2 linked regions of the Tamandua tetradactyla genome follow. The protein of the gene in region 1 interacts with the protein of each later gene in a biochemical or structural test. Links are inferred from orthologs where the notes say so. Each region holds a gene or a part of one and is shown on either strand. Other genes may lie near its edges. The genes, in order: NFE2L2 and ENC1.

Region 1 (8,981 bases):
TGTCTTCCTTTAAAAACAGCTGGCCACTGAGGAACAAGCATTTATAACACCTGTCTGGAACATTCTGTGGTCACTGCCTTTTCTATGCTATTCTTAAGTAATCTAGATTGCAGGTTATCACGGCCATATTCTTGACAAAACACAGAAAAGTTCTACTGACCCACTTGGGGAAAAGCCTTGTGATGACAAAGGTATCATCCAAATCTCCACAAAGGAGTAAAGAGCTCAAGTTTTACTTGGCTGAACTTCAAAAATACTCCGAGCAACTTGAACAGCATTTCCAAATTTAGCTGCTAATCTTAAAGTTGTGAAGATCAGTGATCAAATAGAAAAATATTTCCTTACACGATTTAGATAAGACATTCTAACTAGATCTTCTAAATCAATATACAGATACATTCACTGGGTGCCAAGCACTAAACTAGGTTCTCTAGAGAACCAGTTCTCACCCTTGACAGCACACTGGAATCCCCTCAGAAGCTGTTAAACATACTGATGCCTGGGCATCACCCTCAGAAACGCGGATTTAATGAGAAATGTGGCCTGGGAATCGCTATTTTAAATACTAATGGTGAGTCTAACATACTGCAAAGTCTGAGAACCACTGCTGTAGGGAACACAAAGAAACAACCCAAATGCCCATTTACACAAGAATGTAACTAAAATGTGGCATATCATACAATGGAATATTATTCAATAATAGAAAGGAATGAAGTGCTGATAAATCCTACAATGTGGATGAACCTTGAAAACATTATGCTAGGTGAAAGAAGCCAGTCACAAAAGACCACATATTGAATAGTACCACTTACATGAAACGTACCAGAATAGGTAAATCCATAGGCAAGTAAAACAGATAAGGGGTGGTAATTTCTAACGGGTAGGAGGGTTCTTTCTGGGATGATGAAAATGTTCTAAAGTTGCTTGTGGTGATTACTGCACAACTCCATTAATACACTAAACACTGAACTAAATATTTTAAATGGGTGATTTATATGATAAGTAGTATCTTAATAAATTTTTTTTTTAATATAAAATCTATGTCCAGTTCTCAAGGAATTTACAATCTAGCTGTAGGGAAAAAAAAACAGATTCACAGGCAAAACAAGCATCAACAAAGATTTTAAAAGTCATGTATAGAGAAAAATCCAAGTAATCAGAAAATAAAAGCTACATGTCCAGAAAGAGGCATCAAAGCCAAAGTGATGCTATTTTTCTTTTCTAACCCAATCATTCTTCTCCGAATTGAAAAAGCAGTAGAGCTCATCACTGTGCTCCCAGTAATAGAGGTCTCAAAGTCTCAATTTCTAACCTTATGAAAAAGGTATAATTAGTCAGCATTGCCAAGGAATGTTTTGTAATCCTTCGGAATACAGGCTATTGATGGATTACAATGACGCTCAAGAGTCAATTATCAAAAGAGTCTTTGAAAGGTGAACTTAGTGCTCTAAATCCTTCTTAATTTCCTGGATTTGTCTTTACCACAGTTCGGACCAAACTTACAGGCGCACGCACACACACACAAGACTTTGAAACATCAAACTTCATGACACACAAGTATTTTATAGTACATATGCCATAAAAACTGTTGGGTAAAAGTGCTTTCCACTCTGAGTTTCTAATATTCTTAATATTAAGAGTTATTATAGCTGACATAGAAAATTCCAACTTCAGATAGGGCAGGATATTGTTTGGTAGTCTTGTAACAAATCTTTTTAAGGGTGGTTTAGTGTAAGAACACTGATCATATTTTCCAATACTGAATGAGAATATAAATACGAAACTCTTGAACATACTTTTGCCTTCAAACCATTATCAATTCAAGAAGCTTAAGCCTATACACATAACACTGCCAAGTTCATTTCCTAAGAACAAAGTTATTCACTTATATAACCACCTTAAGCACAGTTATCAAGTTCAATAAATTTAACACTGATAAAATGCTTATAGTCTATATTCCAAATTTCTGACATGTTTCAATGAAGTTCTTTTGAGTCTTTTCTCCTGTTAGATCCCATCCAGAAATGCGTATTACATTTCATTGTTATTGTCTCCACAAAGCCCTTCTTAAATAAATGTTTGCTGGAGGCTTTGTTTAAAAAGCAATAAAACTTCAGTAACTCTTAGAAATCAGATTATCAAAACAAACTTTATTGTCCATCTTATGTTAAGCTTAAGCATGTTTCTCTAACTACAGGTGAAGAGAAGCAGCTAAGTACTACATTTGGTAAACCTGTCCTTCTATCTTTGGTATGTGTATTTCTGAAAACCTTCTACAAGTTATTCGGCCAAGCATTTAAATACCCTTGATTTACTCTTAGGCAAATCACCCATTGGATCCAAAAAGTCCAGCAGCAAACTTTTAACACAGACAAATACAACAATAATCCCAAATATAATTTGTTTAACGACAAGGATTAAGAAATAAAGTATTTAATTTTGAAATGCACTATTCCCAAAGTCCCAAATAAGCTTCACCTAGATAGACGTGAGCCCTTCCACTTGCTTCAGTTTGTAAGTGCCAAAACAGGGGATTAGTGTTTAATCTGCGCCAACAGGTTTCTGCTAGCTGTATTCAACTAGAATTCACCCCCTTCTACCCAAGTTCCTTCAACCTGGTTTAACCCTGTCAGTCCCACTCTTCACCATAACCTCATCAAAAAATTTATTTTTGATCACTACTTCAAAATAAAAAGTGCCACTGAATCGGAAAATATACCAACCAGTAAGGCAAACAAAGGTAAACAAAAACTTCCGTAACTACGAGATTTAACTTAACAAAAGGAAAGTTATCTCTGGGAATTGGGAGACAGAAACAAGGACACTGTTAAAATCCCAGGAAGTTTTAAAATTATTATGTTAGCAAATGGTTCTGCCTCTCTAAATTAAAACCACCTAGGCCTCTGTCTTTCTTAAAAGGATCACGTGCGGTAATTACATTGACAGGCTGGTATTTACTCTTATTTTATATCACAAGGTCTACCTCCTTCCTCCCAAACAGTTATCAAATTTCTTGGTAACCTGAAAAGGTGTCTACATTCATCTTTCAAATTCCTGACCCTCTTTCCCCAGTTTTTCTCAACTTACCACTTTATAAAGCCCGAGACTTCCTCCTGTTTAAAGTTTTACTAGTTTTGATCTAGTCCTAAAGTGTTTAAGAGCCACTGGAGTCAGACTGCCTCAGATTCAGTCCTACCTCCACGACTCAACGGCTGGGTCACCTAAAGCAGAACTTTTAGCCTCTCTCTGCCTCCTTTCTCACCTGCAAAAAGAAGATAATAGTATTTCGTATGGGGTGACTGTGAAATTATGCATGCGAAGCAATTAGCACACAGTCTAGCTCATTGGAAGTGCCCAATAACTCATATCAGTTATTATCATCTTAGTGCCAAATTCTTTCTGCACCCAAGAGTTTATGCTGAAAAATGTTAACCCAGGTTCAAGGAAAATTTAAAGAGGAAATATTATTTACACAAAAGCCCCCTTTAAATGTGTTAAGCCAGAGAGAGGAAATTCCCAGAAAAAAAAAGAGGGTTCCTTTTCTCACATCATCTTCTGAGTAGTCATCTTGAATAAAAACAAATATTAAAAAAATAATAAAACATTGGGCTTTCAAATCTGCCTGGAAAAAGAAACTTTTTTCCCAGCATTTTTTATAAGATCCCAAGTTAGCAAGAAAGAAATAAATACTTCAAATGGCCCAAGTTATTTTAATGCAGAAAGACTTGAGTGAGTTGTGCATTTATCCTCCTACACGTTGCTTCCCCACGTGTGGGAAATAGAGTGCTCTAGACTACAATTCCTGAATACAGGAAAACTGAAGTCCATTGGCTCATACGTGCATTGGTCAAAAAAGCATTCCTACAGATTACTCTTGAACAGAAGCTAAATAGGAAAGTACAATTTACTTCTTCATACTATCGGGAACTAGAAGAATACCATCCCAGTCACTAATGAGGGAAAGTCCAAGACTTTAAAGAAAACAACAGCACAATGAATACATCGTCAATAGCTCAAAAGCTTACATCAGAGTTTCAGGATTAAACTAAAACTTTATATTCAAGAGCATTAACAAATTTATCACTATCTATCAAGTTACAAATTGCCATCAACCAAAATTTTTTCTTAAATTCTAATATACAAATATCTACTACTTTAAAAAGTTCCTACAAAGTATGAAAGGAAATTTGTTTTCACTTTTATAACAATTTACAGAACTTGTTAGCAAACCATTATGAAAACAGAAGTTTCCCACCCTCCTTGCAAAAGAATCAACATGCTAAGAAATGAGGCAAATTCTCAAACAGAAAAGAAAACATATATAAGGCACCCAAGGGGAGAATAATAGCTGAACGCCAACAAAATGACCCTAAAAGCAACAAAAATTCTAATCTACACTCTCAACTCTTACCCTTTACAGCACAGAACAGATAATCCTCCCTTACACATTTTGGAATTGCAATTCAGAAATCCTAAATCCAAAGACAAAGCCGCCCTGGGGAAAATAACAATTGCGCAACAGATCAACAGCTCCAACTTGTCCCTTGGCCGCGGCGAGGTTTGCACGCTATAAAGCAGGAAAGGGCCAACCAAGGGCCTCCGTGACAGCCAACCGGCCCCTGTCACGCAGGCCGCAGCCACGCACGCGGCGTGCGCCACCGGGAGGCACAGCGCCCGGAACCAAAAGTCTTGGGCGCCGCGAACTCGGACTTCACAGTCCGCCCCTCGCCCGCACTTTCCGCGGGGCAGCGAGGGGCCGACCGGGTGGGTCCTGAATTCCGGATCCCAAACCTTTGCCGCGGTCGGAGGATGCGCGTGGGGCTGGGTCTTGCGGCACGTCGGGGCGTTAGAGAGCGATGGACACTTCATGACCTCCTCCCTCCCCTGAAGGCTGAGCTTTCTAGCTCAAGGCGGCCAAAGACTGAGTTGACGGAGTGACTGATTACTTTGCAAAGAAGTACCCATAGACGGCCCAACGGGGTGGGCGCGCTGCACGACAGCTCGCACCCGCGAAGGTCTTGAGACCTGAGGCGGTGGCCGAGGAGGGCCTCTGAGTCCGGCCTAGCAAAGACTTCAGCTCCCCCGAGAGTGGCCCCGTGACTAGGCACATTTTTGCCGGCTCCGAGGCGGGGGAGACGCGCAGCAGCGGAAGGGCCGGGCTGCGCCGGCTCAGACCGCGGGTGTCCACCCCCTCCTGTTCTGCAGCCTCTGGGCCGCTCAAACTCGGGGGACCGGCGGAGGCTCCCGCGTCCCAGCGCTAGGGAGCGGACACGCGGCAAGTTACGCCCCCCCCCCCAGACCCCTCCGCTCCAGGCTCCCTCGGGTGCTGAGGACTCGTCGTCTGTCAGGACACCCGACCTCATCTCCACTCCCTCGCGCCCCCTTAGGCCCCCGCTACCCTCCTCCAGGCTCCAGTTCTTGGCCGCTGCAGTCCCTGCTCCGGCCACAGACGGGAGGAGAAACGCTGGCGGCTGTCCCTCTAGGGCCGCGAACCCCGCCCGCCCCTGCCCGGTCCCTGCACCTCCGCGGAGCCCCGAGGGCAGGGACAGCACCTGCTGGGACGGTAGTCCCGGCGGCGGCAGCTCCAAGTCCATCATGCTGAGCTGGGGACCGTGGGCTGGGGCTCCCCGACGACTGCCCTGAACCCGACTGCCGAGGCGCGGACACGGAGGCAGTGGCGACGGCGGCGACTCCTCCGGGCTGCCCGGCGCTCGCCGCTCGGCTACACCGCCTGAGTCGCCGGCGTTGCTCTTGCCCCGCTCCGCCTCCCGCCCTCCCGAAGGCGGGGCAAGAGCCTGGGCCCTTCCTTCCCCGGCTTGCGGTGCAAGCGAAGCCTGCGAAAATTCCCCACCCCCGCCCGGCTGACGCAAGAGCTCAGGGTCCCGGCGCCGGAAGGGCCGCGGGCCCGGGTCCCTGTGGGCGGTCGCGGGCTGGCGGGGTGGTGAGCGCAAGCTTCCTTTAGCTCCTCTGTCCCCGCGCTCAGTTTGTCTTCCTCTCAAATAAGACCAGTGGTCTCCACCCGGGAGATTAAGAGTTGTTTGCCGAAGGTCGCTGGGGTTGGGCGCTTTCAAACAGTTGTAACAAACACGCCCGAAGACCGGGCAAGGGCGCTGGTATCGGATCTGCGCCTCCCTGATTTGAAGTTACAGAACCTTGCCCTGCTTTATCACACCCCGCCGCCTGAGAGTGGCGCCAGCCCGGGGGGCGGGGGGAGGGGAGGAGAGCTAAAACCCAGGTGGTGCGCACCGCGAACTGCCCTCTCGCCCTCTGTTTCCGCCGGGGCGGAGGCAAGCAGGTCCTGCCCAGGGGAGGTGTGGACCGCACCGGGAGTTCGGGCTTGCAGTCACCCTGAACGCCCTCTACTTACTCCCATACGTTTGCACTCTCGATAGGGTCAGATTGCCAAGGTCAAAGGAAGAAGTCCCCTTTGGTCACAGAGTGGTCAATATTACCCGCCGAGAGCTGGGCAAAAATGGGAACCCCACGAGCTTTCTTTTCCTACCAAGGTGCACAAACCACGCCACGGAATGGTGTAACGCTACAACATGCTAAAATTCTTGACTTTATTTTCAATTTATTCACGATATAGTTAAAAAAAAAAAAGACGAAGTTACAAAACGGTTAGTAGAGTATGGGCCCGTTTTTAAAAAACATGCCTAGGAAAAAAATTAAGGATGTTCACCAAAATAATAAATGTGGGATCGTGAACGGATTTTATCTTTCTCTTTTATTACCTTATGCTTTAAACCTACAATGAATATGTATTACTTTCTACATTAAAAAAGTTATTTAAAAATTAATCATTACATAACATTAAGTATTTGAAAATAGGAATATTGTGAAATCTTATATAAAACAAAAGAGAAATGGCGTTTTTTCCCTGATGTTTCTAATTTTTAAACTGGTTTTCAGTTTCTAGCTTCTTGGGATTATTAGAAAGGAAGTGAAGTAGATAGTGTTGGCAGTGGTTTTACTATGTCATTCAAGAATCTGCCTCCTCTCTTTCCAATAAACTGTAGAATTTATTTTATCTTGGTTGCATAATTTGACACGCCCCGGACTTACCTGTAAATTATATCTTCAAATAATCCTTGAGAAAGGTGAAGCCTAAATTAATTACTTGTAATTGAAGCAAGCTTCTTCAGCCATAAACCCATTCAGCTGTTATGTGAAAAGCCTGCAAAAGGATCTGCGCACTGAAAACAAGCTTGGGAGAAATTATTTACAAAGAACCTGACATGAACTATGCAGAGACATCATAATGAAATGACATTTCTGCATCAAAGAAAAAAGACAAGAATATATTGTTAACAATTTGAGTTACTTTTTAAAACTACTACATAAGAAGGTGGACAAAGAGTCTAGGAGATAGGAGATACACAAATCATATATGATATGGTTGCTGCCCTCAAGGAGTTTATAAAGTATTTGGTATTTCTTTGTTAAGCAACAAGAGTTCCATTGAGTTTAGACTGAATGAAATAATCTTCACTTACACAAAACTGCAATTTACTATGGGTATATTATTTCAGGCACCTGCAAAGTACATATTTTCAAAGGGAGGAGAACAACATGGTGAGAGTCTGAACGTGTTTAAGAAATAAAGACATTAGGAAAAGCCATTTGGCACTGAATGGTGGTTCAGCACAAGAAAAGGGAATCCCAGTCTCAGAAGACTCATGTCAAAGAGGTTTCCAGTTTTAGAAACACTAAGATAAGAATTGTCTCCATGAGAGAGCCTTGGCTCTAGCTTTGCCCTCTACACTTGCAAATTCTGCTATGGAGGTGCACATACTGCTTATCGGGAGGTTCCAGGAAAGCAGGAAAGAGGAGGTGCTGTTTTTTCTCATCTTCCTGATGCCATGGGGGCCCTTTTTACTACCATCCTCTTCTAGCCTACTATTTTGCTTTTTCTCCCAATTGGCTTTACAATCTACTGACCCTAGATTTCCACTGATGTCTGAATTCTTTCCTGTCTTTGGAAAGAAAGCCCCCTATATAGTCTTGTAATGTGTCAGACTTGTAATGTCTTATGCTAGAGTTCTCATAAAGATGAGCATTATCAAGTAAGCCTTCTGAGTTCACAAATTTAGGATAAAGGTCATGCATTGACCATTTGTTCACCTTCTTCTCCATACTGTAGTCTGCCAAGTTGCAAGGCCCTAGAACATACCTACTGTTTAAAAATCCTCCATCACCTTGAGGCCTCTTCCTTCTTCTTGCTTCCTCTCAATTTTACTTCCTCTTTGAGCCAGAAAATATTCAGAAACTCCTGGAATTATAGTTGAAATTCTACTTTGTCCACCTTACAGTTGAAGTATATGGGGTCGCTAGTTTCCAAAGATGGCCTCCAATGAACCACCCCTCCTGATTTTGATATTGTTGTATGTTCTCTCCCACATCAAATCAAGGCTGGCCCTCTGACTTGCTTTAGCTGATGAAGGGAGGCCAGAAGTGACACTTTGCCAGGTCCAGGTTTAAGACTTAGGAAGGCTTGGTAGCTTTCAATTTACACTCTTGGAAGTCAGGCATCATGTAAGAAGTCTGACTTCCTTAATGGCGAGAGAAACCATAGGGAAAATGGGACTTCAAGTGGAGAGAATCTGTCTATATTAACCAAGGCACCAAATTTGTCAATGAAGTCAAGCCCCCAGAGGACTCCACCCTCACTTGCTATTTATCTACCATTGCATGAAAGACTCCAAGCAAGACCGTAGAAAACTGCCTAGACAGACCAGTCAACCCAAAGAATTGTGAAAGAATATAATTAACTTGTTTTTAGCCACTGAATTTTAGGGTGGTTTGTTTCATAGCAATAGATAAGCCAATCAGCATGTATTGAATATCAAAGGCAGGGTTCTATTGGCTGCTTTTTGTTTGTTAACCATCGCTGGGAACACATATAGGGATGGTAGTTGCAATTTAATAGGGTCTCATCCCTCCGAAGCTAATTGACCTCTTTGGGAATAAAGAAGTTATTT
Region 2 (8,981 bases), on another chromosome or scaffold:
TGCTGCCACACTGACTACAGGGCACAGGCTTGAAGCCCATCTCACAAACAGCACAAGTCCTGGGCGGACGGCTGGTCCCTGCTGCCACACTGACTACAGGGCACAGGCTTGAAGCCCATTTCACAAACAGCACAAGTCCTGGGCGGACGGCTGGTCCCTGCTGCCACACTGACTACAGGGCACAGGCTTGAAGCCCATCTCACAAACAGCACAAGAAAGGGAAGCTGTGCCTTTGTCCTCACCCACACTTGAGAAGGGAATCAAAAGACAAAGAGGGTGCTTTGGGAACCCTGGCGGGGACATGTCTGAGATTTGGGTGGGGCTCCGGTGGGTCACAGAAGGCAGGATGGCAGCTGCTTAGCCCCTGCCCCACTGCTCGGTCTCTCCCTGGAGCTGTCCTATCCCTGGTCCCATGATTGTACGAGGTTAATTAAATCATTCTCATTAATTCAGCCCAAGTGTAAATTAGGAAGAAATGAAGATAAATTAGGTTTGAAGGTAGCTAATACGCTTAACCCCATGCTGCTTATTTTGCAGCCTAACAAAATAAGGTTGTTAAGGGAGATAACAAGGCCAAAGCCTTGGGCACAGCTTACTAGCATTAAAAATGAGACCTCAGTGTAGTGTCAAAAGGGAGAGCTGAAGACCAGCTCCCAGAGTCCGCTGGCACTGGCCTAACATCTTGAGTGAGGTGGTGGCCACTGTAGAAAGTAGACACCTAAGACATTTCCTGAGTTGTTTCATACTCAGCCCATCCATTACTCCCTCTATCGTCTGGCTTGTTCCGAGGTCTGCTGGAGGTATCTTCCTGGAGAGACACAGGTCTGGCTCACTTTTCTTCCCAGGAGTGGCATGGTCAGGGGTACCTTTAGGATTGGCTGGGAGATGTTGCAGGAATTAAGCACTTTGACGTGCTAGGATGTTAAATATGCTAACTTACAAATCACTTGCAGTTGGAGGATAAACATTAGAAACTGCCCGCAGGCCCCAAAACTTTTGATACATTTGTTCAAGCAAACACGTGTACACTTGGTAGGAGGTCACTGGCGGCACACACTTTGCAAAAACACAAGTTTAGTTCCTGTGTCTTTCAGCAGGAAAAGGTTTTCCAGTTTTTATAATCTATATAATTTCTCTGCCTCACGTTTCTTATCTCCTTGAGGCAGATGAAGTAATGTGTATGGTCTCGAAATACATTTCGAGATTTTCTGGGCTAACACTATTTTTTTCCTTGAGGTACAGAAAAGTGGCGCTGTCAGGTAGACGAGACACTGGAAAATGCTGTCAGCGGATGCTGGCACATGGCTAAGGAATTTCACCCCTTTCTTAGCCTGCCTGCTTAGCAAAGCTCTTTGCAAAAGCAAGTAAACCTGCTGCCCCTTAGTTTAGGACATTCTGCAATTTCCAGGTGGTAAAAATGCAAGAGAAACCTATGCCCTGTTCCTAGCTCTATGGCTTCGTGAAGCAAAACCAGCCGACCTATTTACGTATTTCGTTCCCAGGCAAGGTCCTCTGGGTAGAGTTCTAGGTAGATTTGGTAAGAGACTGAAGTAAAAGGAAGGACTTTTCTTTAATGAGAAAAAGTGTTACTCTCTTAGCCTAAACAGAAAATGTCCCCAAATGGAAGACATTAACACTTTGTCTTCAAAATCACCTTTGCTTGCTTTTAACCCACACCCCAAACAGAGTGCTCTAGGAGGCTGTGACCAGTGTCCCCCGCACCTTGCCGCAGGCTACAGACAGACATGCCATAGATGCACATTTCCACCTTCTATCTTTTCGGCATCTATTGCTGAGGTATACAGTGTTTCTGTACGTTTGTTCTTCGTAGAATCTTCTCCAGAAACAGAGTTCTGCTCCCAGAGCTATTCTCTCCGCCCAGGGCCCCCCAGGATTGCCCGTGGGGCCACAGTGACTGGATGGGGCCCGTCTCTGCCTGTGGGAAGGAGTCTGGAGCCGAGGCTCTGCAGAAAAAATCCAAACACGAAACGGATTTTTTAAGACTCGTGTGGCTGATGAGTAAATGCTAGCAAAGGACTTCAGAGGGCACTGTTTTCCTTTGTTTGCAGGGAGTGGGGTTCCCCGAATGCCAGGAGGGAATGCGGGTAGAGGAACCCGGGATTAGAATAAAGAGCTGAGTCTCGGTTCCAGCCGTTTGTGGGCCCCGGGGGCGCAGCTGGAGCCGGGGGGCCCCCACTCCTGCGCCCAGCATTTTAAAGAAAGCTGAGGCGGGCGAAGGAGGCCGGCACAACCCACAGGCCGAGGCCTCGCGAGCGGCGCGGCTGCGCCACTTGTTAAGCGCCCTGGGGCCGGCCAACTCCCGTCTTCTGTGTGAGACGTTTGCCCCCAAAAGCCGCCTGCAGCCCCACAGGGGTTTTAGCTCTTGGCGGACAGAAGAGCCTTTGTGCAGAGACAAGAAAGGGGGTTCCTAAGCGGTCTGGGGCGTGCGGCGTTACTTCCCGGGTGGCCTGCCTTCCTCCCGGCCCGCAGAGGCGCTTTGCAGGCGTGTGTACCGGACTCAGCACCGAGCCCACGGTGCGACGGATGTGGGAAAAGCCGGATCTCAGGGCTCGGCCCAGGCTGGCTGCACCGCCCGGAGCGGGGCCGGGGCGCTGGGAGGGGAGGGGCGCAGAGCCGGCCTGCGCGGGGACCCGGGCCGCGGGGGCCCGCGCCCAGGACACGTGGGAGACGCCCACAGCTTGCAGGAAACCCTCAGCCCGCGACCTGCAGTGTCCCCGGAGTGTCCAGCCATGTGCCCCTTCCCTCGTCGCTGCCCCCCATCCGGAGTCCTAAGCAGGACGTGGGTCGCGGGCGCCCAAGGCGGCCTGCGCCCCGTTCCCGAGCATCTCGGCGGACTGTGACGGCGCGGGGCCGGGATCACCGGCACGGCTCCCTCAGCTGCGGGACTGGCCATCGGTGAGCCACTCGGGCCGGCTTCGTCTCGGTCCCCAAGGCTCGGCAGCTGCGGGCGGCAGAGACCCAGCGGCCGCCTCGTCCCTCCCCGCGCGGCCGGCCCGCCCCCCGCTTCCTGTGCCCGGCAACTCCCCCGCCGCCCCTCGGCCGGCGCCGCGCGCCCTCCCCTCCCCCCCGACCGCTTCCTCGGCCCGCGCGCCCCTCCGCCTCCTCCCCCTCCCCCCGCCTCCTCCCCCACCCCGCCCTCCCCCTCCCCCTCCCCCCTCCCCGCTTAAAGCCGGCGCTCCGCCGCCCGGCGCAGTCCGCTCCGGCAGCCGAGGAGGAGGCGCACGGCGGCAGCGGCGCTCCCGAGCCCAGACGCGGGCGTGCGCGGCGCCGTCCTGCTCCCTCCCCCGGCGCTCCGCCCGCTCGGCTGCCCCGGAGACGCACTCCGCGGCGTGGGGACCGCGGACCCGGACGAGCCGCCGGCGGTGGCCGTCCCCGCGCGCTCCTCCCCTCGGCCGGCGCTGCTGCGCCCCGGGCCTTGCCGCCCACCTCGCCCCCCGCGCGCGCGCCGAAACCCAGGCCGGAACGAGCCGGCCGTGCGCGGAGGCCGCCGCCGCCGTAAGTTCCCTCCGCCGCCGACCTGTTGCGGGCCCCGGCGGGCGGTTGGCCGGGGCTGCTTGGCCGCGGGGCGGGTTCCTGGAGGGGGGTTTGGTGCGCGCCCCAGGGCCGCGAGCTCCGAGCCGGGCCAGCTGTGCCCGTGCAGGGACCGCGCGTGCCTCTGCCCGCCCGCGGGAAGCAGGAGCCGGGCGCCGCGGTGGGGAGAGTGGCGGGGACAGAACCACGCAGGCTCACGCCCCCCACGCCGCCGCGCGTGTTCCTGTGACCTGCAAACCTCGGGACCGAGTGCGCCGGGAGAGTGGGGGCCACGCGTGCACACGTCCCGAGTGGACACACCGGCCAGGCAGAACGGAGTGTCCCGGGAGCGGCTGAGACTGGTTGCTGAACAACCGGTGCTCGGTCTTTAGGGGAACGTTACTCATTTCCGAGCCTAGGGCTTGGCGGGCGGGTGGCGACGAGACGCGAAGTTTGTTGGCCACGCAGTGTCGTGTCGCCCTCGCCGGCCCCGGCCGCGAGCCGCCAGCGTTTAGAGGACTGGAGGGCAAAGCGCTTTTCTTGCTCAGATCTTTAAGGTGGCGTTCCAGGAACGTCAGTACCCGAGGAAAGCTGCCCGGTTTCTCCTTTGAGCTGAGATCAAGTTCAAAACCTGGTGAGATGGGACGGGACGGGACGTGAAGGGCCAGGGCAGAGAGACCGACCAGGAGCCCGTTTGACGCCCACCCAGCAGCAGCCCTCTCCCGGGTATTCTTTGTAGACACAGGTTAGGGACTATGTGTGCATTTTCTCGGTCACTCGGCACGCACATATTTCTCTGGTGGCTTCAAACAATGCCGAAAGGAGGAGTCATTTCATACTGAAGGTGTGTTTACTGAGTGTGTGAATGGTTTCTGCAGATATTTTGATGTCTGCATAATTTTGAATCCAGAAAGCAAGTCATTCCCTTCGGCCTTTAAGTTTACTTTTTATTTTAATCAAGCACCACTGCGAGAGGGTTATTATTTGTCCGTGGCATGTTTTTCCATCTGGATGGCGTCCAAGATGATGGGCCAGGTTCTTCCTTTTCTGGCTTGATGTGCCAAACTTGCAGGAGCACAAACACAGGTTTGCAAAGAGGCGGGTAACTCCTATATCCTAGATCGCGTTATTTAAGTGTAAGTCTGGTCGTGGGTGCTGTTTTACATTGCCCAGGATCCAATGTTCTGGGGCCCAGCGTGATTCTAGCTCAGCCTCAGGCACTTGGGTGCCTGTGTGCCTGGCAGCAGCAGAGCCTCATTCCTCAGCGAGAGCTGCTTTGGCTCTGAGCCTTCCAGGAAGCAGCTTTTGAGGTTAGTTGTGATGCATTAGCTTTTCTTAAAAAGCATAGCTACTCGTTTCCCATTTTTGTAAGTTTCTGTATCAGGCATAAGAGAATTTATCCACACTTTTGAGGGTTAGGCTTAAAATCTTCCACAGAGTACTTTAAGTGGAATGTATTGCTTAAAGTGACGATGAGAGTGTAGCGCCTGGAGGGTACTAAGACATGCTTTGACACTTTGAAAGCCTGGCGCGTTCACGCAGATTTGCATTGCTCGTCTTCTAGAGTGTAGGCACGGATTTAAACAGACCGGACAGTAGAGGCTTAGATCGAAGGGGGGGTGATGTTTGGCTTCTCATCATTTTTCATATCCCACGTCACGGTGAAGACCTCACTGTAGGCTGAAAAGCTTCTTAGTGCCAGAGCCTTAGGGCTCTTTCCTGTACTTTCTTCCACTAAACCCTGTTTACTCATAACAAGAAGTCACATTCCAAAATAAAGGGAAACAAGTTGCATCATCTAATGGTATGTGGCCTGGTGTCCAGGGCACATATGGCACCTACATGTGCTGTTTGCTGTGCCCACTGCTCACCATAGGAAGTGCAGTTTAGTAGTGCAGCCCGTGAATATGGGGTAAAGCATGCATTTGCATTTATTCATATGTCCGATTTGCAAAGCAAAGAAAATACGTATCTGAGTATTGGAGAAAACACTGAGGGTTTCAGTTGTGCGGAGAGCATTGGCTGTTCTGGGGTTGGAACAGATACTGTAGCCACACAGTTTACCTACTTGGAATAAACATCTTCTGTAGGAACTCTGACAGGCAGGCTTCTGAAGGTTTTGTTCTTTTGAAATTGCAGAAAGGTATGTGTCAGAAAGGATGCGTGAGTCAATTCCTGCAGACAGATGGTAAGGAAAGATAAGGGTGCCATGTCCAGTATCTTTAGCCTACAGTGTTTTTACTGAAGAAAGTCAAAAGATAACATTAGGTGTGCTGTAATTTCATTTTTGACACCGAGGGAAGCAGAGTAACCAGCACATACATTCCAGGATGGCCTTAATTTAACTGTGGCTGGCAAAATACCATATACGTTTAGCTGTGTGTTTTTACATGTGTGTATTTATTTAAGCAGTTATATTCACATACCCTGCAATTCATCCAGCATATATAATCTGTGGCTCTCGGCATGATCACAGCGTTGTGCTTTCATCACCACAATCAAACTTTGAACCTTTTCATTGCTCCAAAAAGAAGAAAAAAAACACACCCCTTATAACCCCGTAATATTGACACTTAATGCTGGTGTGGTACCTTTGTTACAGTTGATGGAAGAGTATTGTAATATTGCTGTTACCCATAAACTCTAGTTTGCATTAGGTCTGTTTTCTCCCCATACCACCCTAATATTAATGCATAATAGTTACGTGCATCAGTGCTAGTTCATGAAAGAAATTCTTATATTTGTACTATTAACTACCTTCATTGTTCACAGCAGAGTTCACTGTGTTATACAGTCCCATGTTTCACCCTCTAGCTTTCCTTCTAGTGACATCCACAATCCTAAACTCCCTGCCTTTCACCCACAGTCGCACACCTTGTGTGTGTCATTTTAACTTTAAATAAAGCAGCTTTAGACTTTTGAACTCCCTACAGGCAGGTGCCGGCATTTGCAGGGACACAAGAACTGTCCTGGTGATGTGCCATTTAGGCAAAAAAGAGAGGGGTAGGCAGTCCCTATATCCTTGCAAGTGGTTTTCCAGGAATTGGCATAAAGCAGGAAGAGCAGAAAAATGCTGCTCAAAAAGAGCATCTGGATGTTATGTGTCCAGATGCTCTTTTTGGGAGGTGTCCGGAGTAAGAAAGGTCGGTGGTGACCGTGTCCTACATCTACTCTGTGTTATTCACTGAGCCTTCTGGCCACTGTGTGCTGATTTATACTGGGGTGCTTTTAGGTTCCTGAGGTGCGGTAGAGCTGGTCACCAGAGAAGTGACCTAAGTTTGTGATTTTAATCTTACTTTTCCTATTTACTGTAAATGCAGGGAGCCTGGGTCTTACCAAAGGAATTCTCAGGGGAATTAATTAGTAGGTGTCGTTTTACAGAATAGCTTTATGCTGCACAGGGCATTAAAGCCGATGCCCATCCTGGCGTTACGAGAGCAGGAGGCCTGGCATTTTCCAGTGATCTGCAGTGAATCAGCTGGGCCGGGACAGGGAGGTGTGAGAAGGAGACCTGGTTCTCCTCACCTTCTGCTGACTTAGGTTCTCAGGGACTTCGGGATGCTGAAAGCTGGCGATCAGGTTTTCCAAGATGAACCTGCTTCTGAGCAGAGATTTTTTTTTTTTTAACAGTGTACAGTTCAAATAGCTCAACAGTATGAAAGTTGAAAGCCTTTCCTGACAGATAATTAACTGCCTTTATCTTTGTGCTGGCATTGCTGTACCCTGTGGGGCTCACAGCAGAACGTTCTGCTTTCTTTGTCTGAAAAAAAGATAGTTGCTTTTATCCTGCTGCCCTAACATCAGCAGCATCGCATTCAGTGGCTTGGTTTTGTTTGTCTGTTTTCAGGAGCGGAAACAAAATGTCAGTCAGCGTGCACGAGAACCGCAAGTCCAGAGCCAGCACCGGCTCCATCAACATCTACCTTTTCCACAAGTCCTCCTACGCGGACAGCGTGCTCACCCACTTGAACCTGCTACGCCAGCAGCGCCTCTTCACTGACGTCCTTCTCCATGCCGGGAATAGGACCTTCCCCTGCCACCGGGCCGTGCTGGCTGCTTGCAGCCGCTACTTCGAAGCCATGTTCAGTGGGGGCCTGAAGGAGAGCCAGGACAGCGAGGTCAACTTTGACAGCTCCATCCACCCCGAAGTCCTGGAGCTGCTCCTCGACTATGCGTATTCCTCCCGGGTCATCATCAATGAGGAAAACGCAGAGTCGCTCCTGGAAGCTGGTGATATGCTGGAGTTTCAGGACATCCGGGATGCATGCGCAGAGTTCCTGGAGAAAAACCTGCACCCCACCAACTGCCTGGGCATGCTGCTGCTGTCCGATGCGCACCAGTGCACCAAGCTGTACGAGCTCTCCTGGAGGATGTGTCTCAGCAACTTCCAAACCATCAGGAAGAACGAAGATTTCCTCCAACTGCCCCAGGACATGGTGGTGCAGCTCTTGTCCAGTGAAGAGCTGGAGACGGAAGATGAAAGGCTCGTGTATGAGTCTGCAATTAACTGGGTCAGCTACGACCTAAAGAAGCGCCACTGTTACCTCCCAGAGCTGTTGCAGACAGTGAGGCTCGCTCTCCTGCCAGCCATCTATCTCATGGAGAACGTGGCTATGGAGGAACTCGTCACCAAGCAGAGAAAGAGCAAGGAGATCGTGGAAGAGGCCATCAGGTGTAAGTTGAAAATCCTGCAGAACGACGGCGTGGTGACCAGCCTGTGCGCCCGGCCTCGGAAAACCGGCCATGCCCTCTTCCTCCTGGGAGGACAGACTTTCATGTGTGACAAGCTGTATCTGGTAGACCAGAAGGCCAAAGAAATCATTCCCAAGGCCGACATCCCCAGCCCGAGAAAAGAGTTCAGTGCGTGTGCGATTGGCTGCAAAGTGTACATTACTGGAGGGCGGGGGTCCGAAAATGGAGTCTCAAAAGATGTCTGGGTTTATGATACCCTGCATGAGGAGTGGTCCAAAGCCGCCCCCATGCTGGTCGCCAGATTTGGCCACGGCTCTGCTGAACTGAAACACTGCCTGTATGTGGTCGGGGGCCACACGGCCGCAACTGGCTGCCTTCCGGCCTCGCCCTCCGTCTCTCTGAAGCAAGTGGAACAGTACGACCCCACAACCAACAAATGGACCATGGTGGCTCCGCTCCGAGAAGGCGTCAGCAACGCCGCCGTCGTGAGTGCCAAACTCAAGCTGTTTGCTTTCGGAGGTACCAGCGTCAGCCATGACAAGCTCCCTAAGGTTCAGTGTTACGATCAGTGTGAAAACAGGTGGACCGTCCCAGCCACCTGTCCCCAGCCCTGGCGTTACACAGCAGCGGCTGTGCTGGGTAACCAGATCTTTATTATGGGGGGAGATACAGAGTTCTCAGCCTGCTCTGCTTATAAGTTCAACAGCGAGACCTACCAGTGGACCAAGGTGGGAGATGTGACGGCAAAGCGCATGAGC

Evidence for each region.
Region 2: the proteins of NFE2L2 (region 1) and ENC1 form a complex in vitro, tested with the Homo sapiens proteins (2 studies listed by BioGRID). The link is inferred for Tamandua tetradactyla from reciprocal best matches to the Homo sapiens genes NFE2L2 and ENC1.

What each region holds. Positions count from the first base shown.
Region 1 is NC_135329.1:149,517,609-149,526,589, forward strand, and holds the start of NFE2L2 (nuclear factor erythroid 2-related factor 2), read right to left. Parts: upstream 5,762-8,981; 5' UTR 5,598-5,761; coding exon 5,553-5,597; intron 5,137-5,552; exon of another isoform or gene 4,947-5,136; intron 4,596-4,946; exon of another isoform or gene 4,412-4,595; intron 4,389-4,411; exon of another isoform or gene 3,197-4,388; intron 1-3,196.
Region 2 is NC_135347.1:57,736,849-57,745,829, forward strand, and holds the start of ENC1 (ectoderm-neural cortex protein 1), read left to right. Parts: upstream 1-3,461; 5' UTR 3,462-3,516; intron 3,517-7,378; 5' UTR 7,379-7,391; coding exon 7,392-8,981. UniProt on the Homo sapiens protein: Actin-binding protein involved in the regulation of neuronal process formation and in differentiation of neural crest cells.